Linked DNA regions of Drosophila melanogaster. The protein of the gene in region 1 purifies or fractionates together with the protein of each later gene. This does not show direct contact. Each region holds a gene or a part of one and is shown in the gene's direction. Other genes may lie near its edges.

Region 1 (11,093 bases):
AAATAATCAGGCCCTGCGAAACCTACTTGTAGCCAGACAAAATGTTGAGCAGCGTACTCTTGCCAGCACCCGATGGTCCCATTATGGCGGTGAGTTCTCCAGACCGGAGGCGTCCACTGACGCCCTTCAGAATGGTCTTGGCATCTGTAATAAAAACACACAAAATTAGTGTTTGGGCCAATCTCTTGTTGGGACTAAAAATAGTTCGCGTTTTGATATGTCTTACGTCAATATCTAAGTGCCGCCGCAGCTATCAAGAAAGATATTGATTGCATTGGCTTTTGGACGAGCAAGTGTAGAGCCGATAGGTAAACAAAATCTGCAAAGTCTGACAATCGAAACACATAGCACGGTCAATGGCCCCATCACGTTTTTCTTCGTCCACCTCCATATATAGTATGACTTATGCTATTATCGACAGAATTCCAACAGTTGTCAAACAACCGCGTCCATTACTCAAATTTTATTAAACATCCAACATCAACAACGGACAACTAATAAACAAAGCGGCTAAAATTCGTAAAAAGCCAATTGCACTTTAGTAACGCTTGTTTAAAAATAGTTTGACTTATTCTGACGTATATTCGCAGATGCTGCCTAAATGGAACTGTTCAGATGCGGAAGTGCCTTATAATCATGGCATACCTTTAAAGTTTAAACCAATAGTTTTGTACAGCAAGCCATCTGCTCTACGGAAAATGCTAATATACCCGTTTTCATGGGGGCACGCTCTTCGACTGCCGGCTCTTAATCAAAAGATGTATTTACTATTGAATCGACTTTGGACACAAAAGCGAGCTATGACTGGTTATAGAGCTTCTGTAAAGTGACTATTACGAAATAATTCATTTTATGTTTGTCATAACTCCGATTAGTAAAGTACCGTGACCCGCTCAGAAGTGAAACTCAAATTTATTAAGCTCATGCAGGGACTGTAAATGTTTTATTCGGCGACTTACTTAATACGTAGACTTTAAAAGCTGGTAATGAATTCCAGCTGCCAGGCAGCGACTAGCAAGTCGTAACCACTAGGTACGCAATGTCTCTCATTGAACTTACTTGCTTGCCAATTGATGTAATAGCACCAAAAGTGGGGTCACGCTTGAAAAACTATAGTCCAGCGCTAAGGCCAAATCGTAGCTTTGATGTTTATGACCGGATTGGACAACAAGTGGAACCATTCAGGGCTCCTAAGAAAAGGTTACGCCAAACTTGCAACAAGGGCACAGAAAGTCGCTTTCAGAATTTATTTATATCTGTTTTAATATAGCAGCCGAAAACGTTAGCAGGCACTTACTTCATTAATTGTGTTTACTTTAAGTGGCATAGTTAGCCAAAATCAGCGCAATTTCCATCTGTTGCCTCACTTCCATCTTATATTGTATACATTATTTTGGCACATAACTTAGCACACCCCAGAAGGCGGCGTGCCATCTGCAAATCTTTCGGCTAGGTGGGGCACGCTCACAGGGCAGTGTAAATAAATCTGTGTATATTCGCTTATTCTGAACGACTTAATTGAGTCGGATGGCCGACCTTTGAGGTGTGCAAAGTTCAGGCTGCTGCCTTCTCCAATTAGTTTTGCACTTGGCTGGCCTTGGGCTTAAAAACAGGCTTTGACAGTCCCTCAATCTTAGACGGGATTCACGGACTATGTCCGCCGTGAGGCCAGCCATCCAATGCGACAACGAGGGGAGTGGGTTTCATGAATGAGCTTTTATAAATATAAGAATAAAGCAGTTGTGCACGTTCGCATACCAAACTAATGGAATATTATCGCTCGGCCATCATTACTTATTCTGAACGGCCCCACCGGGGCACTGCATATTACCACAAATGTGTTTTCACCACCACACCCGACTAAAGCTAGCTATTGGCAGTGACTAAATCCTAATCGCTCTGCTAACACAGAAAGCACATACCGCCGCCATCAGTCTTGACTTCCTCAACTATAACATACCCGCTACTCAATTTCATAATCCTTTTTTTTTTGGCGGATCAGGGGCAGTCTACGAGGAAAGGGTATAAAAACAATACCTCTCCCTCTGGCACGTCATCACAAATTGTTTTCCATAAAAGCAGTAGATCCAAAAAAAAACCCCATTGTGCTCCACCCATGCTTTAAAGTAGATACACTGCTACGTGAGAAAAGTGCGAGTACATGGCTCCTCGCCTTTTAGATGCTATGGCATCGAACCAAGTTGTTGACTGTCCCAATAGCGAAATAGCTTGTGTGGGCAGTTACTCCGCGGCTACTGGCTGATGATTTTGATGTATTTAGCAGTGCTTATCGCGGTGAAACCTAGTGAACTTTGGCCAGAGCCGCCCTTGTGAAACTGGGAAATGAATTTGACGAAGAGACGACGGGTTACATATCTACTCAGCCACAACCCGAAGTTCTCCGTTGCTCACAGTCTGAGTGTTGATACTGCGTTACAGCTGCTAAAAGAACAAAGAAACCAGAAACCAACACAATGCGAAGCGCAGCTAAAGCAAACAAGTAAAACCCGCTAAAGCCAGGGAAGTGCGTAATAGCGACAGAGTACTCCGGAGAACTAGCTCAATAACACATGTGCGGAGTACTACTAGCCAGGACCGGAAACAAAAGCTCTAGGGTGAGGTGAGAGCAGGCGCGGGAGGTTCAAGATCCCGCTCTCGTGCTGCCGAGGAGTGCAGCTTGATATAGAGAGAGGTACTAGACAGTGGAAGTACTTACTGCTCCGGTTCCCCTCCTTGACGCGGTACGTCAGGTTGTGAAAGGCCAGGTCCACCGCTGGTCGCTTGGGGAGGTGCTGGAGCGTCTTTGGCTGGGCGGGTACTATTTGAGCTTTCAACTGACCCGCTCCGGCTGTGCCCAGTCTGTTGTCGTTCAACAGATTTGCATTATCGTTCTTAGTCATCTTGTCAATCAATCAACCAGGGGTTAAAAAGCAAAATGCAACCACTGTGTTGTGTGTGTATTCTTTGTAAACTTTAGCACTGACAGCAATACTGCAGCCCCTGCTGCCCTTCGTTCCCGTTTGGTTTTTCGTTCGCGTTCTCGATTCGATTCCACCACCGTCTGGTCCGGTGAGAGAAATTTTCCACCCGTCTGCTCGAAACGGTACTGCCGCTTCTCAAATATTAGGACTTCACTCGCTCGCGCCGCGATCGCAACTGAAATAAGCAATTGCGGCAGTGGAACAAAGGCAGAAATTTAGGCAACCGCTGACAGAGAGTGCCATCGCATACTCTCACAGCCCCAATGCTTTACGTCTGTGGTTAGAGTGGGACGACAATAGAAGCACTACTTCTGGTGGGGATTCTAGTGCGATTGAGAGGCACTGCGGGTTGGCTCTCTCTCAAAAGCCAGCGCATTCTTCTACTAAGTCTTGAATGAATTTGGGAAAAGCCTATAATCTGTGAATATTCCTCGATCGGCGGACCCATGTATCTCGAAATAAAATACCACTAACTAATTTCGAGGAAAGTCTTTACCTTGAGGAAGGTCTTTGATTCCCAGTCTTGTACTTTGATTGGTTTATCAGCCTTTTATAGTAGTTAGTCCTGGAAGCTAAGGTTCTGGCCATTGGTTTATTCAATCTAAGTTAAAAGTTCACGGCCTCGCTCATGACTCATGAGTTATTGGAGGGGCTTATCTATGGGTGTCAATCTACAGCTGATAGGAGTTTTCAATGAGCCGATAAGGGGTTGTACTTTGTCATTTCGTGTTTTACGTAAAAATAAGTTAATCGGTGCCGTAATTCGTTTAAAGGAGCTCTAGTACGCTTTTTAATGGTTTGCTTACGCGACATTTTACCTACATTTTGCTTTTCCCTACATTTAATGTGGCATGAGGTCATTTGTGGCTATGGCGTGGGACGACCTTACAACTTTGCCCCAGAAACAGTTTTGTGGTATATCTGAACGCAACAGTTAGATGTAGACATTGCTGTAAGGCTCCTTGTTGGCATGCTTTTACGATGCTCCGGTCTATATTTTGCCCAATCTAATTGGGATTTACGGATTGCACTGGGAGTGCTAATAACGTTTAGTTAAACCGGTTATTGTATATATTGGGGCAAGTAAAAACGTAATGAATTGACCAACAAAAGGTATTTTCCCAGTACAAACCGCAATTTGAGATATTATTCCTAGTTCGGTTTCTGGGTTCAAATCAGCATACAGCACTAAAGTTATGCAGTCGCCTTAAGATATGAAAGAATAATGTATTTCCACTGGCAATTTCCCGATGACTATTGGCTTGGAAATTTTTTAAAGCTTGTGGCTAATCAAGTCACGGAGATGTCAACAATTGGCAGGAATTGCAAACCGGTTGTTCTACACTTGTTGATTTCGTTTTATAAACGGGGGGTGTGGTATATTAGATGTGCCAACTAAATGTGATGCATTTTGCTTGAGACCCGCCTGATTCGGCTACTTACAGATTATTATTTTCCAAAAACTGCTTCCAACTATACTGGTTCATGGTGCCGTAACTCAACAGCTACTGAAACCATCGCTTTGAAGCAACAAGTTGCCTTCGCGAAAGCTAAGTCGCAGGCAATAACGAATAGGCAGTCGAAACCCAAACCGAATATAAGAATTAGCGATTTTGTATTTGGTTGTTGCACATCGGGTGTAAAAATATGTACACTCTGCTGGAGGGAAACTTTCGTAGTTTCTTGCGAAAACTGAAGCCGGCCAACTAGTGGAAACGATGCCACGTAACTGGAAAAGCGTAGACGGCTATATGGGAATTACTCGGGTCTATGGTGAAAAGTGGCACTCACACATTGGCACATAAAAGTTTCCTCTGTTTTCCTTGTTTTCTTTGTTATGCCCACCTGAAGCTCTCCCAATATGAGCCGTCCAAAAAAGCTTGCTTTCCCGCCAGAAACAGAGTTTTAGCTTTATTTTAACATTAATCCTATCTGAAATATACTCATCCGTTCTTCAGTACTTTCCTCTAAGTTACGAGGCAACCAACAAATAATTGGAAGACATATCTGTGGTCTCGGCTTTTGTGCGACAACATGCCATTATGTAGGAGGGAGTGGGCCAATATGCGTGGCTTGATGAACGACGGCCTAGGACTAAGTATAATCTGTAACAAATAAATATTGAATATCCTCCACACAGGATATTTAGATCAGAATTTACATAGCATTTAAATTTCAACGTTTTACATACTCAGCCTAAAAGTTGGCTACACTGTGTACTTATACTGCTATTTTAGTTATAGTTTTAGTTAGATATATTTTTAATATTCAGAACGTCGTATGCGAGACCCAAGCCAGGAATAGGAACATTTAGTACCGAATTTACATATTATAAACAAATCATTATTGCTTCATTTAAGGCTCTATTAATGCGGTCCACCACAGAGTTTATCAAATGCCAAACACGAATAGACACAGCTGATACGGTGCTCCTTGCATTCGCTATATTTAATTGTATATAGTGAACTTTGTACCAGGCGTGTATTCAAAACAATCAGCCAAAGAGCAAAATGGTGGAGGTTTTTACGAAGAGATTACGAGAAATGAGAGAGTGTTGTAATAAGTAGTACTGCTGAAATGCATCTGCATACTGCGTAACCTATCATAGTTTCTGAAATGAATTTATCAAAAATGTAGAACTTAATTTGTGGGTTCTAAAGTGGGCCATGCACATAAATGGTGCAGGTGTTCTACGATGAGAATTACTAAAAACTTTTGTTTTTCATTTGGCGCTAATGCAAGCTACAAGTGCTCGAAATGCATAAATGAGCTTATAGCGTGTGCTCAGTAACGGGGCTTTTGGCTACCCGACTAGCCTCGAAACATAAACATTATGGGTCGCATTGCAGGTCTCTCTGGCTAGTGGCTGCGGAGCGGGTGCTCATATACCGCCAGTTTTGAATGCTCTCTGGGAGGCCTTTGTCTGTGCGTCGGCGTCGCAAACGAGATAAAGAAAAACCCGAGGCGCGCGACGAAACAACGAAAAAAGTGAATGCTGTCGCGCTAACTGTGCTCACAAGACTTCCAAACATCGAATTGGTCGGGTGTCCCCAACAGTCGCTCCGCAGCCCCTGACAGAAACAGAAACGAAAACCGAAAGTACCGCAATCCAAAATTACCAAAAGACCTGTCCAACCAGCGACTGTTTAACCAATCATATAACTGTAAAGTGGAAAAACGAGCAGAGCACGGTAAGTTGTGCGGAAGACTGCGTCTTCACTGGAAAAGTACCCCTTTTTTAACTACCTCGGAAAATCAAGTGCAAGGAAAATAATTACATAAAAATTCATGAGAAAAGCAGAGTGAGCCAGCATGCCACCAGCCCTTGCCCTTCCTGCGCACGTCCTCACATTCGCCAGCAATACATAACTAACCGTGTCCTTTTGTCCTTCTCGCCGACTCCAATCCAAGAACCAAGATGGCACTACGCGTGGCAGGACTCTTCCTGAAGAAGGAGCTGGTGGCTCCCGCAACACAGCAGCTGCGTCTGCTGCGTACTGGCAATACCACCCGCTCCCAGTTCTTGGCCAACTCCCCCAACACGGCTCTAGACAAGAGCATTCTGCAGAGGTACCGCAACCTGGAAACGCCGGCCAATCGAGTGCAGGCTACTTACTTATGGATCGACGGTACCGGCGAGAACATTCGCCTCAAGGATCGCGTTTTGGACAAAGTACCCAGCTCCGTGGAGGACTTGCCGGATTGGCAGTACGACGGCAGTTCCACCTACCAGGCCCATGGCGAGAACTCGGACACCACGCTCAAGCCACGCGCCATATATCGCGATCCCTTTAAGCCGGGAAAGAACGACGTAATTGTCCTGTGCGACACCTACAGCGCCGACGGCAAGCCGACGGCGTCCAACAAGCGTGCCGCGTTCCAGGCAGCCATTGACCTAATTAGCGATCAGGAGCCCTGGTTCGGCATTGAGCAAGAATACACTTTATTAGACGTGGACGGACGTCCCTTCGGCTGGCCGGAGAACGGTTTCCCAGCCCCACAAGGTCCTTACTACTGCGGCGTGGGAGCTGACCGTGTGTACGCTCGCGATCTTGTGGAGGCCCACGTCGTGGCCTGCCTGTATGCTGGGATCGACTTCGCCGGCACCAATGCCGAGGTAATGCCCGCGCAGTGGGAGTTCCAAATTGGTCCAGCCGGGATTAAGGCATGTGACGATTTATGGGTGTCGCGATATATTTTGCAGCGCATAGCTGAGGAGTATGGCGTAGTGGTCACCTTTGACCCCAAACCGATGGAGGGTCAGTGGAACGGAGCCGGCGCGCATACCAACTTTTCCACAAAGGAGATGCGTGCTGATGGCGGAATCAAGGCCATCGAGGAAGCTATCGAGAAGCTGAGCAAGCGCCACGAGCGGCACATCAAGGCATACGACCCCAAGGAAGGCAAAGACAATGAACGGCGCCTCGTGGGACGTCTTGAGACTTCTAGCATCGATAAGTTTTCTTGGGGCGTGGCCAACCGGGCCGTAAGTGTGCGAGTGCCGCGTGGCGTTGCGACGGCCGGCAAAGGATACCTCGAAGACCGGCGGCCAAGCTCCAACTGTGATCCCTACGCCGTGTGCAACGCCATTGTTCGCACCTGCCTGCTCAACGAGTAGGCTGTGAGCGGTGCAACAGATGTTTAATTTTTTGTACATTATGTTTTATGGAACTGTGAAGCGTATCCGATCATTTGGTTATATTTACATTGAACTGAAGCAAAATTTAGTTTGCTTGTGCAAAAAAGACAGGAGACCGAGGCACGAAAAGCGTGCGCTTAGAATTTAAGAACGTGGGTGGGTGGCAAGAAGAACTAAGCTAAAGCGAAATTTCCTTAAAGCGATGGGGCCTCATGAATACTTTGCCATATATCTCACAAACTACGTATATCTATCATTGCTTTAATCTAAATAATAAAAAACATTGTACTCTACGTTAATTTTTTGTACCTTTTAGATCAAACAAACATTTTGGGATCCGACGTTGAATTCGGTCAACGCCATTTTTTGCCCTTAACTTCTTGAACGCACTTTTTTAATAACTCCTAAGAGTTTCTAAATGTAAATTTAAGAAGGAAATATCACTGAAATCGGACGATATGCATATTAATCATTCATATCCATGAGCACGAATACACATATATGTGAAATATGTTTATAAAAACCAATTGTTGATTAGAAGTTGTTAAAAATAAAATACTAAGAAATTAATTTATGTATATATATTGGTACATATGTATCTCACTTTACGGATCTGTCGCTTCACTTTGTTCGGTAGCATTTTACATCATTTTACTATATGCTGTTATAATATAAATGTCTAAATACTAGCACTAGCAAAATTAAAAATTCCATTGAGATACATAAATACATTTTGAGTAAAAGCAGAACTGCGTACAAAGCAAAACACATTACTACAGACTATTTTATTTTCTCTTTTCTGGCGAGCTTTTGAACAACTGTTGTTGCAATGACTGTGAAAATCAAAGTTTTAAAATATAGAACAGCTTGCTTGTAAATAAGAGTGACATGAGGGCACAAAAACTAGCTAAGGCAAGACCTTGTTTTTAATGGAAAGTTTTCCACCACAAACAGCTGCCTGACACTGAAAGTATTCAAAGACTAAATCTTAGGGTTTCCGTTCAGAATATGTGTGTTTTTCGCTCAACTGACACACACCCTCGTATATATGTACATATATGTATGTTTGTATGCTTGGATGAAAGATATGGCTGCGAAGGAGACAATGCTTCCATATACTCGTATATTCCCAATGGCAATATACTGCGTCCAGCTGATAGGGCAGGGGTACTGCACTCTGGGATGGCAGGCAATTGCATTTCCCTGCAATCTTATATTGATTGAGTATAACCGCGAACTCAATCGCTTCAAAGGGGGGCTATTAAGTGTGGTTATTATACTTAAACTTACAAAATAAATCTTAAATTTGAATTAAATTAAAATAGCAGATACTGCAGTACTACTAAACTGATATTTAATATACATACATATGTATGTATCTAGTATGTCTTCGAGCATCTAAAATTGAGTGTGCTTTTTTTACTGCACTTTGCATGTCCGTTCTCGCAATTGTTGACATTCTGAGGTGCAGTTAGCGGTGTTTGTTTGGCTCTGCTGGGAGCGGATTACGGATTACGGGGTATGCAAATGTAATAAGGTTAAGAGGGAGAGATAAGGCCATCCAGTTTATACAAAACAGTGTTAAATACACAGAGATAGTTCGACCAAGCCAGCCAGCCGAAAGAGGCACGGAATCATCCGTAGTCAGACCATCTATAGCTTCGTTAACTCATCTTTAAATGTTCGAACGCATTCCTGTGCCCAATTCCAATTCGACTATCTAATATACCCGTTTTCCATTGCAGCATTTGTGGGCACAATGTAGATACTATAATATATTTTAAAATCACATAAACAATCGAATCAAGGCACTAGCCTGTTATGGCCACAGAACTCAATAGTTCCGCACCGTCGCCCAAAAACCAGATTATTAATTAATTGAAGCAGGTTCATTGGTATGCATGAAACACGTTCAAAGATGTCAACATCATACAATGCAGGCCTGAGGAGATCCAGTTATGCTGCCTGAGACCAGGCGATTTGCATAAAACGGAATGATAAGCTGGACACCTGATTTCGAAACTATTGATAACAAAATGATATTGATATATCACTGAATCAAGTGATCAAAATAATATATTTTTGCTCTAGATAAATGTAGGCAACGATCGACTGGATAGAAATATAAGCTTCACTTACTCTCCTCACCTTCCTATAAAATCTTCAGTTCGTCAGTTCACTCGGTTAAAGTCCAAGCAAACTGATAAGACAGTAAGGCCACGAAGTTAATCTTCCGGCTGCAAAAGCCTGTCCAGCGTTTACCATTATCTTTTGTACCGTGCCTTTTACTTCTGACTCGGTCAGAAAAATACCTCCGCCTGGGTAGGGTTATCAAAGGGCAATAAATCATACTGGCTGCGGTTGCGAAAATAAAATAATGTTGAACCATAATTGATCAAATCAATTCCATATAAAGAGATGAAATAATTTTACCCAGACCCCTGCGAATTTTATTTAAATTACCTTAAAGTTGGGCACGATTGTGGAGCGTGATTCCTGAACGGCCTGTCACAGTAAACTCATCTACTGATCGACTCTTGTCTGGCCAATTGCAAATTACCATTTTCAGAGCCTTTAACTGGGTCAAGACATTCGCTCGCCTTGCAATGGGAGTGGTCGGAAAAAGCACTGATAACAGCGGATTTACGGACTCAATGCAGTACGTAATGTGACAAGCGGCAATAAACGGGTAACAAAACAGAGCGAATCTGTTGTGGAGCTGCTGGTGAAATAATCGTTGCTGGGGGTGCTGTTTATTTTTATGTGATGTTTCTTTTGGAGCGCACCAACTGCTTGTTGAGATTATGTTTTATAGCGCTACTTTCAGTCCGCGCAATCGTAAATGATTGCTCGATCAAAATATGTGGTCGCACTCTGGAGAATTATAAAACCTGTCAGGTACAAGCAGATACATAATATATATAATATAATCCTATAATTCTATGTCCTGTGACCGATGTCCAGCAATTAATCGGTCACGTAGCGTCATTTTGGAATGAAAAGAAAAAGAAAAGATTTGCGGCCGCAAATAGTTTACTACGCAACCGATTTTTCCATTTTATCTATGGCGGGTGTCGATACGGTGGGGTTCTTGCGCAAACACAGGCAGCCAACAAGTGCTGTCTTTTATCTGGCCTATTTATCTAATTTCCCACTGCTCACGCCATTCGCAATGTTGTGGTCGTGATGAGCGCCTATATTTAATTTGCAGAGCATATAGATGTCTGGAACTGAATCACCCAACAGCAGGGTCGGACTGCGTGTTCTGTCTTAGTTTTCCAAAGAGCCCAAAGATCTTCCTCCCCCCATTTTATGCCGCTTTTTTTTTTTAGAACACCTCCACTTTACTTTCTCTGCCACCACACGCGATTCCCAATATTTGCGTCATGGGCCCACACGCGTCTACCAAGTGATCTGCGATCTGTTCCGTGCGTTTTGGCGCATCGCATCAGACAAAGTTCAATCCCCCGATT
Region 2 (11,093 bases), on another chromosome or scaffold:
TGTTAAAATCTGCTTTTATGATTAATTGCCGTTGCGCTGGAAAATAAACCACGACAACGAAGGCGACTTGCTGCATTTCAATTTGTATTTTCATTTTTCGTTTCGCTTCGCAGCCATTTTCATTGCTCGACCACTTTTCCGGGCATTTTCCATTTGGCACATTCACACTTTTGGGGTTTTATTTCGCTGGGCACGATGTATGTAATTCGGCATTCGGCTGATTTAAGCATGATCCTTGTGTAATCGCTCGTTAATTAATCCTCGCATTCATTTCTCGCACAGTTCACCGGCACCCAGCGAAATTTTAGCAATTGCAATAATTGCTAAATGATATATATTTCATAATTGGCTTGCCAACATATTTGGGCATTCAGCTAATTTCAGTTCAAGTTTTATGTTGCATTTTAGCAGCAAATTGCACTTGAAAAGCCTAAATTGTTTTTCAATACCAAGTGCAATTGTTTTGTTTCTAGCACTTCAGTTTTTATTGCGAAGTTTTTTTTTTTTTTCTTTTTTTGCTGCTCCACCACTTGGTTTTCCCCATTAAATCCCACTTGGCTCCACGATTCATTCGCCTTCGAATTTGTTGTTCGTTTGCTTCTCATGGAAATTGGCGCGTTTATCTTGCATTATTTTGCGCACATTCGCTTCGCATAACTTTCGGCCTCTGTTGCAGTCAGTGTTTCGTTGGCTCAACTTGAACTCAGTCCGTTTGAAATGCACTGAACGAAAAGGGGTAGTGCAACACAAAATAAGAAATTTAATATAAAGTGATATTTTTGGGAAAATTTAACCACATGTAGTTGCATAAAATATCTAAGTATAGAAATGTAGAACTATAGAGAATAAAGTATTCTAACTGCTACGAAATATATATATTTTTTTTTGCAACTTCTGCTTTAATATTTTTGTATAAATGCCACACCTAGCTGTTACATACCTACCCACATCTCAAATATACCCTTCTATGCTAAGGTGCAACGGATATGAATACCTATAATGGTGTCCATTAGTTGCCTATTAAAACGCCCATTTAAGACCATTTCTTTCAGTGCTCCCGAGGCTTTTGCCAGTGCTTCCGTTTCCTTTAGAACGAAAGAATGGGGCTGCAAAGGACGAAGGAGAGCAAAAGGACGAACTGCAACTGGCATTTTTGGCGTTCCCGGCACGCGCTCACTAATTTTATTCCTTAATAAAAACTACAGGCACACCACGCGCTGGAAGGAGAAAGCGAGAGCCGTTCGTGCACGTAGCAATAGCATCCTCTCTTTCCGCCGCCTCAGCGGTCGTCTCTCTCTTTTCCCCCGGGTGCTGCCATCTCACTCATTGGCCCCATTGCGGAGCTCTGGGGGAGGGGGAATGGGGAATGGGGTGATGCTACCTTTGGCGAGGTGCGCTATCAAACTAGCAAAGTTCATTAAAGTGATAATTACAAAGGCCGTAAAAGGAACGACGTACGGCCAAGACGACAAGGAACGGATATACGGATATACGAGCTGCAAACTGAAAAATAACCCAAAATAAACAATGGAAGACAATGAGAGCTCTGCCAAAGGTTTGAGAGGGGGAAAAACAGGTGGGGGGGTGGGGGTAGAGATCGTGAGCCGAGGAAAAGCGAGTGCTTCCAAACCAGTTTTAGTAGTTATCACTTTATAAACAGGTAGATATTCCGGGGATATATGAATAATATTCATACTTACTGTGAATACATTGCAAAATAATTCCATAAGAATTTAATTGCCAGACCCAATAAAAACCCAAATAAAAATATTTAACTACATATTCTGGGAAAATCATGGAAATCGGGGCAAACCGATAAAGTAAGGTCGGACATGAATTTAAATAATCATAAGCCGAGACCCAAAAAGTAACTTTGCACAGCTGCCAACAGGCTGACGCCCAAGGACCAAGAAAACTTTGCGGCATAAACAACAAACAGGGAAAATGCGGCGAGTGAGGGGAGGGGGGGGGGGGGCGGTGGGTCTAACGGTTGGAAAATCGAGGCAAGGAAAAGCCATAAACTACAATTGAAAGAAACAACAAAGACATTGCCAGCAGCTACAGCAGAAGGCAAAAAGTAAATAAATAAATAAATAAATACGTACATATGTATGCAGAAATGCCAAAAGGATTGGGCAAAAGTGAAATACTTTGATATGCATCTAAATGGCATCATCAGCATCATCCTTGCCCCTGCCCTTAACCCTCGACTGCCCACGGGTTTTTTAAGTGAGAAAACAACGTGCACTCAGAGAAGCTCAAACTGATTGTAAGAATAATGTTAAATATAGATAATAAAACTCAATAAAAATGATTCAATTAAAGGAATAAAATATAATATAATATAATATAGAGCTATGCACATTAGTTAAACTAAAACTAATGCTAAAACTAAAAACATATATTTTTAAATTAATTTATTTGGCTAAATACTGAAACCTGTTATCATAACATACTTTCATTATTCTGTACCTATTAAAAAACACATCAGATGTACCAAAATATCTCAGCAATATTATCTTATATATATCATATCATATCTAATATCTATAGATAGATAGATAGATATCTATATCTATATATCTATATCTATATCTATCTATATCATATCCTTTCTCCCAGTGCAGCAGCTGCACAGCAGCCACCGAAGATGGCAATCAGTAGCACTGCGATTGAGAAAGCAACAGCAAATAGAATAGAAATCGGACTGAACAACAACAACAACAACAACATTGGGTGCTTGCAAAATCTGGTGAAATAAAAATAGTGAAAAAAACAAAATGCCAGCAATGGACAAAAAACGCAAAAACAAAAAACATATACTACGTAACACCAAAAGCGACAGACAAACAAAATAAAAACACTGCAAATCATTTTGTGGGCTCTACATTTTATTTCGCCATTTTTTTGCACCCAACAAAGTGAACCTTGGGTCGAAAAATTATAATAAACAAATACTTATACATTTTATAACTATATGCAAGCACAGCTGAAATTAAAAACTTAACTCACAAGCAAAAGATACAAATATATCTGCGTATATATGCCAGTTTAAACTATTTAAAAAATCTTGTTTAATTTCACATGCAAACACTAAATAAAAATACAAGTTTTCTTTACAATTTATTGGAAACTCTTCAGCTAAAATAAGTTATAAAAAAAAAATGCAAAAAAAATATATATATGTTTACTTAGTGGTTAGCACCACTGTGCCGCCAACTGGAAATCCTGCCCATCCTCATTCACATATTGGTCGCTTTTGTGGCTTTGTAATGCAAATGTTTGGGCAACAACCCTGGCTGGTGATAGTGGAGCTCGACTGAGCGGGCGGCAGGAGGGGGCGTGGGAAAATGGAAGAAAGGAAAATGGAATATACAATCACTATTGATGGCAACTCTGGACACACTCACTTCTATAGACATTGTAGCCCCGCTCGTCGGCAATATAGTACTGTGTCTGGATTTGGTTTTTAGGTCCTGGAATGGGCACTGAATTGTAGCCCTCCTGAACGTTGATCAACCGGTCACCCACTTTCTTGGAGTACAGCTTCTTGTAGTTCACCAGGCCGTTGCTCATCACCAATCTAGGGGGGATTTGGTAACATGATTGATTAGGGTATTTTACTTGTGTTTAAAAATTTTACATATATGTACATATATTCAAAAACCGTAGTTTGCATTTAGTTTGAATATTTGTTTTGTTTTGATTAATTAATGACAATCCACTCACTTGTACTCCTCGGTGCCATTGGGGTGTATAACGTGATAGTTTTGCACAACATAAATGGGCGTGGGAGTGGGCGTGCCGGTGGGATGACTGGTGGTCAACGGGCGACCGGTGGTCGACGATGTGGATGGTGGCACTTCGTCGAAGAAATAATCAAGATTCTCCTCTTCAAAGTCCATTTGCGGAAATACAACCAATTGATCCTCGTACAATGGCCATATTTGCTCAATAGGTGTCCCAATTTGGGTGGGCTTGGGGGTGATGCTAGTGGTGCTACTGGTGGCTCTAGTGGTCCTAGCTGTCGTTGTTGTTGCTTCTGTTGTTGTTGTAGTGGACAGCGGTGGACTGAAGTCATCACCGTCCTCGATGTCACTGGGCCAAACAACCAATTGTAATTCATAGATGGGCTGGCTGTCCGGTGACTTCAAGTGGCGCCGCCAGTCTGGATTTGCCTCAGGCATCTCCTCCACCGGCTTATTACCACTGCCTGGTAACGCCCCCCTCTCCGGCAACGCCCCCTCATTGTGGCAGCCTAACGAGTCCATTGTCGCCGCATCGAAAGTCAATTTGCAGTCGATGCGTTGGCCATCCACTTGAGCAGCAGTGGCCTCCGTCTCCGATTCCAGTTGCAGCTCCTCCGCATGCGGGTTGTAGTTGTCGGTGGTGATGGTGGCGATGGTGGCGATGGTGGTGGCGGTGGTGTCCGGATTCGAATCCAAATCCGAATCCGATTCGGAGTACGGAGCTGTAACTATCCCGGCCTGCAGCAAAGGGATTAATGTGGCCGCCAGTAGCAGCAGCTGCAGGAGTACCAACTCCGGCCGGATTCTGTTTGATGACATGTCTGCGGGCGCTTTTCCTTGCCTTTTGCACGCTGCCAAAAGGCCCGGACTTGTATTTATACGAATCAAAGGCAGTCAGTCGCTGCAGGCTGCAGCTGAATTCAAGTTGACTGAATCATCATCATCATCATCATCAGCATCATCATCATCATCATCATCACCATTATCGTCGGCTGCACTCTAAACATCGGGAATATATATATATGCATTATATATGTACAATACCGTTATACGCCAGAACGGCAAATAAGCTGGCTTTGAACCACTTTGGAGAAGAGCCCACAATGAACCAGCCAAAGTGGCCTTAACCCGTGAAGTAAATAATGTTGAACAAAAAATATTTTGTCACTAAAATAATGGCTTTTTAGTATTCATTATAATCGCATTATTTAATTTGTTCTATAAAAGTAGAGAATGCTATTATATTAAATTCTTGAAAAAGAATATTACTCATACGCAGTGTATGACTTTAATTTGTTTCAAACTGCTACGTTTAAGCTGGCAATGATTTTTATTTTTTTTTTTTTTTTAACCAGGAATATTATTTAGAATAATGCATAATAATTTATAATTTTCAAGCAATAATTAATTTACATTTATAGTTCCTCACATTACGTATACGCAGCGTTGCCTACTGTTTGTATTTCTAATTTTCAATTACCAGGAATGTTAAATACTCTTATCACCCCGTTCAGCAGCCAAGGGTTAAAATGCATCACTATATAATCATTTAAAACCGAAAAATGATGAAAATCAGTAAATAAGCATATGTACTGAATGAATGATGGGGGAGGGGGGGTGAGAGGGGGAGCTCAGATGCAGGATTGTAAAAATCTTTATAATCGCCACATTGTGTGTAAGCTCGTAAATGTGCTAAAGGGTATTTGGTTCGGAGTTTGTTTGTTCCAGGGGTGATCGAAGTTCATTGGTTCAGTTACCGTCTGTGTTTTTATTTAGAACATGTGTTTCATTAACATAATTAAAATTCAAATGTTACTTGCACTGCTTGAAGTGATATTTTAATATGTTTAACTATGTTTTTTTTTTTCTTTTTAATTTTTTACCTGGACTTCTTTGTCTTCGTAACCTTTGTGTCATAAAAGCGTTTTCAACGTTTTAAAGTATTATTTTTAGGGCTTGTTGCTCGACAAACCGGTTAACACTTTGAATCATTTTGGCCGCTTATTTCGTTCATAATCCTGGTTCTGCATCGATGTTTTGCACGTTTTCAAGGGCAGGCAGCTTTGTAATTTAATTCAATTTCTATTTAATTGAACCAAAGGCGTCTTTAATGTGCAACTTTTTGATTTATGAGTCCGCAACAGCAAGCGGCTGTCAAGCAACTTGTTCATTTCACTCCACTTCTTTCTTAGTTTCCCTCTCTTGCCTTCGGGAAAATTTAAAATCTTACTACGAAATTTCCATGCAAACGAAACATTTTCCGCCAGCCATGCCGCATTTTGCGTTTCCTCTTCTTTTTCTTCCTGTTTTTTTGGCACAAATTTAATTTGATTTGATTTTGGCCGCTGGACATGGCAAGCCCCAGGCAATTTGTCAAAAAGTTATATAGCTACTGTGTATTTTTATGTGCCGGCATATTTAATGACATTTTCCTCATTGCGACTTTTTTTTTTTGAATTTTCAAAAAATACAAAATACAATATCTTCTAAAATCCATGAGCAATGCCCAATTCTTGAAGTTTTTGATGGCCATGCAAGTGATGTGCCATTTGTTGAGTAAGTATATCTGTGGGCAAAGATTTCTAGCTTAGGCGTGTGCAATGTATGAGGAATTAATTTGTGTAAAATTGGCAAACAATGGAGGAGATGGGCCGAGTAAAGGTAAGCAATTTGTTTGAATTCGCTTGGTAAATTAATTGCACAGGTTTGGAAAATTAATGGACACCTGCAGATCCACCAGTGGCATTGTATGTTGGCCATTGTGTGGTTATTGAATTTAAGTTCCATAAGCATTCAAATGAAGATGCTGTAATTTTGCAGGAATATATAAATAAGTATATGGCCGTTATTAAATGCTGACCCACATTTTGTGTACTGGCAAAGCCAGTTTTTTTTTTGTTGGTTGTTAAAAACCATTTTGATTCTTGGCAAATCTGGTTCAATTAACTGCAGCCCAAAATATCATTTAATATCGCGATATGACCACAAAAATCATATATAAGAAGTGGCGAGCCTGGTCACCACAGCAAAGCGACTGAAAGCGAAGTCTGATAAAGAACAATCCTTACAAAATACAAAAAAATATATATATTTAAAAAATACAATTGAGCAACCAAACATGGCCAACATTCTAAGTTTTACCATCTTTATGGCTGCCATTGCTATTGGACTGGCTTTAGCCACAACAACGACAGCAAGTACAAGGACACCCATGCCCACTTCCACTGAAAAATCCATGGAAAAGGACGATCCCATGGAGTCCTTGGAACGCCGTGACAAACGCCAATTGGTAAGTGATTATTGAAGCAAACTAGTCGTGGCAAACTTAGGTGTAGATTTTAGGTTAAATCAATCAATTTTTAAACATTTACCTTTCCTCTTAATCGTATTCCCAGACCGCCAATGGTGGCCAGAGCAGCCTGGCTGGTTCCAGCGGCAACTATCCCGTTTTCTTCGATGGCCTTAATGTGAATCCCCCGCTGCAGCCACTGCCGCCACTGCAGCAACTTCAGCCTCTGCAGCCATTGCAGCCGATTACGGTGGTGACTCCTGTGGCCTCCAGTTCGAATGCCCAGAGCCAGCAGCCGCAGTCCGGCTGGCTGCCTCAGTTTAGCCAGAATCTTCCACTTATCGGAACCTGGGTGGGTGGCCTGCCCAATTTGATCAACGGCCTGGGACTCGGTTCGCTAAACGGCGGCTTCGGCACTCTGGGCGGCCTGAATCTGGGCAACCTGGGACTGGGTGCAGTGGCGCCGGTGGCCGCGGTGCCGGGCCAACTGCTCGGCTCGTCACCCAATCCCCAGACCACATGCCCACTCACCCAGAAGCTCAACTGCCGCTGTGAGCCGCTCGTTCAGCTGCCGGGCCTGAAGCCCAGTTCCAATCCACTGAGGACGCAGCTGGTGCAGATCATGCGGCAGAATGCGCGGAAGAACGAGGACGGTTCGCAGGAGGTGCGCGTAATCCTGAGCAGCGGACATGTGATCTACCAGCGGACGGCCAAGGATCGCGGCCAGAGTGGCTACCTTGCCATGAGAATTCAGTCGGGCAGGTACTTCAACATCTACTACAGTGTCAACGAGAAGGAGTACACGGTGCGGGCGGATGTCAAGGACACGCCACCCACCTCCGATTTTGACGACGAGCTGAGTGGTCAGTTCTAAAAATTGGTCAAAGGGATTTCCCTTTACTTACCTACAGTTTTTTTTTCTATACTTAATACTTAACTAGCCATTTTTTATATGAAATGCACTTAAACATATGTATTTGAATAAGCATTTAAACATATTTATGCTTATATGTTAAGCGTGCCCGATTTGAACCAAGCCGCCGAAATTCTTCGTAAACTCCATTAATCCCTTTTTTATTCGCAACTTTTTTTTTGAACTTAAACAACTACAAACTAGCTGCGAAAGAAATAAACTACAATGAAACACATTTTCTGACGATTGCTCCTTGGGGACAAAAAGTTTAGCTACAAAGACAAATATTCATGGGGGTGCGGCAATAAACTTGTTTTTATTGCCGAAAATGTTGTTAAAGGGTTAACAAGGTGGCAACGGGGGGGAGGTTGTTTCTTAGCCCTTAGCCCAATTTCCAAAAAAGGAACTTTCCTAATTACTGAAGCCACTTGGAAAAGAGATAAATAAATATTTACTCAGGCAATATTTAAGCAATAATTGTTCGCTTATTATTATCATTTTTCAGTATCAACTGATAATTATTCGTGAATAAAAGTTTTAACAATGGATATAGAAGTCTTTGTATTTTATAACTATTAAGTGCTCAAGTTTGTATATATGGCATAAATAGTTATAATTTTGTTTGTTTATTAGTTGCAGCAAGCCGACACCAGTTGAATCTGCTGGTCATGGAAAAACCCACAGAGAAAGAGGCCAGCAAACAAACAAAGAGCCAATGGGCAAATGGAAATCAAGCTGTAAAATGCCATATCCCTATCCCCCTCTCCACCGCCCCCCCCCCCCTCACATCTGCGCTTTTCCGCACTTCACTTTTCCCCATTTTGCCTTTCAAGTTGCGCTCAGAAGTTTCGCAATGAGCCGGGAAATGGAAACTGGCAGGATATGCCCGGAAAAGCGAAGTCGAGTGCATGGTGGTAGAGGGGGGCGGGTTGCGGTGCGGTGTGTTGTATAATTAAAAGTTCCCTTTTGTGCCGAGATTGGTGGATCCTCCCAAAAGGCAGCTACATTTTGATCCTTGCCAGCTGTGATTAGTCAGTGAACAGCAGGAGTTCTCAAATATAGTAAAGTAGTCTTCCTTTTTTTTTGTTAACTGGAGGTTAACTGGAAGTTTAATATTAAGTAAAGGTTAAGTTGTAAGAAAAAAAAATAGATTACATTTTAAACTGCACATTAAAATTAAATTGTAAACATAAAAGAAACCAAGAACTATTATTTAGTTTATTATTTAGCTTTTCAGATTGCTTTTGAAAAGAAGCTAAGTTTTGGTGTTTAAATTGTGAAATTGCGTGATTTTCGATTATGGGGCCCGATTTGTGGGGTGCTTAAAGCACTTTCGGTAAATAATTTACACAGTTTGTGCATAAAAGTTGCTTCTGCTGGGGCCTTTTAACCGGGGCATGGAAGGGGGCGTGACTGGCAATGAAACCGCATTGCTCGGTGCACACGAAACTTTTCACAAATCATAAATGGTCCCAGGACACACACACAAACACACACATTGCAGTTTAGTTCAGTGACTACCCAGCTTTTCAGCCACCCGTTTCCCCCCTGTATTTAAAAAGTCCCCCATTTCAGAATGACCACCTCCCCCCCCCCCCCCACTCCACCTTTGAGGGAGCCCCTCTCAACCAACCGCCTCATTGGTTATGCCAATTGCAAAAAGTCCTGGGCAACAATTGAAATTGCCGGACTCGTTGATGAGACTTTAAGCTCTGGCTGCAGTTGAAACCCCGCCCCTAATTACGTATTACCAGATGACTGCCATTAAGTGTTCCACAACCCCCCGCCCCTCACTCCGCACCCCTTCCCCTGACCACAGCCCCTCTTTTAAAGCTGAATCATCTTAAAGTGCTGGACAACAAGGACGCACCATTAAATCCACTGAATGCTCCACATTTCGGTTGGCTTTGGTTTGTTGATGTTGCCAGTGTTGGGTGGGCATGGCCCAAGGGTTGGGGGGCTGATTCCTGCGGGTTATATAAGCGTTGGCGCTGCTTCTGCACCCATTAGCTGATACGGCGGATCAGCGCGAGGGAGGAGGAATCCAAACCCAAGCCCAAAGCCAAAGCCAGACCAGTCGCAACCGCAGACCCACGTGAGTGACCGGCGACGACTAGACAGTGCGAGTCCATGCTTGGATGCATACATACATACATACATATGTATGTGTGCGTCTGGATGTGACCCACGGCGATGGCCCCTGAAACCAGGATGCACCTAGCCCAGAAGCAACCCTCCTGCGTTCGCCGCCCCTGGCTACCCTCGAAAAACTGCCGCATTGTGTGGCCAGAAAGCGAAACCGCGACTGCAACTGGCCCTGCAATAGAAAATGCACTGCAAAAAAACTGGGAGTATGTATTTAAAGTACTTGATAAAGTTGGATTATTAAATAACACAATTAAATTTAATATTAATAGAGAAGTAGTATTCTTATCAAGATGAGAACTAAGGAGCTATGTTAATCTTGAACCAGGTGTGGCCAACTTTATTTTTCACAGTGTGGCAAGGATAAGCAAAGCGACCAGAAAAGTATAACCAGCAAAGATGGACCCATGGAGAACGGATGCGAATCGAGAGCGGAAAGCGTGACAGATAGATGGGTTGGAGCAGCAAGGGGTTAATGAAGGAGGGCATTTAGTTCGTGGTACTGTGGAAATGATTAAAATGTATTAGGTGAAATTAAGTTGGCCAAACAGAGAAATGGGGGGGGGGGGTTTAAATAAAGAGGCCAAAATGAGGTTAAAACGTTGCACAAAGCCAAATGGAGCCTGGCTGGGCGAAAACAAATTCATTAGGCTGCAGTGGCATAAAAACATCATACCCACAAAAAGAAGATGCACAACGAAAACCGAACAAAGTTGATTTAAAGTATTATAATCTGCAACATTTTTGCGTATTTCGAGAATGCAGCTTGTTTACCCAGTTTGAAGTCAAGTTAGACTTATCTCTGGTTAATTGGTTTGCTCGAGAGCAGGGCGCGCAAAGCTGCTGGGAAATCGTGGAAAAATCGTAAAGCTTAATAATGACACTCCCCACACAGCCCCTACCACCAGTCCAGCATTGGGAATTCACAAGCCACTGTAAACAGGTGCAAACGTTGCGTTGCACAGCAATTTCAGCAACCCCTCTTAACTTTTGCGCC

What was found. The genes of interacting proteins can lie anywhere in the genome.
Region 2: the proteins of Gs1 (region 1) and CG32631 purify together in Drosophila melanogaster (affinity purification with mass spectrometry, with the first as the bait; one large-scale study listed by BioGRID). This does not show direct contact.

Annotation. Positions count from the first base shown.
Region 1 is NT_033779.5:126,084-137,176, forward strand, and holds Gs1 (glutamine synthetase 1), read left to right. Parts: upstream 1-5,993; 5' UTR 5,994-6,399; coding exon 6,400-7,599; 3' UTR 7,600-8,389; downstream 8,390-11,093. Other genes in the region: CG3164 (uncharacterized protein), read right to left, coding at 27-144, 2,717-2,859, 4,425-4,468.
Region 2 is NC_004354.4:13,549,682-13,560,774, forward strand, and holds CG32631 (uncharacterized protein), read left to right. Parts: upstream 1-6,790; 5' UTR 6,791-6,867; coding exon 6,868-7,038; intron 7,039-7,144; coding exon 7,145-7,912; 3' UTR 7,913-8,185; downstream 8,186-11,093. Other genes in the region: CG11816 (uncharacterized protein), read right to left, coding at 3,243-3,319, 3,411-3,583, 3,730-4,568.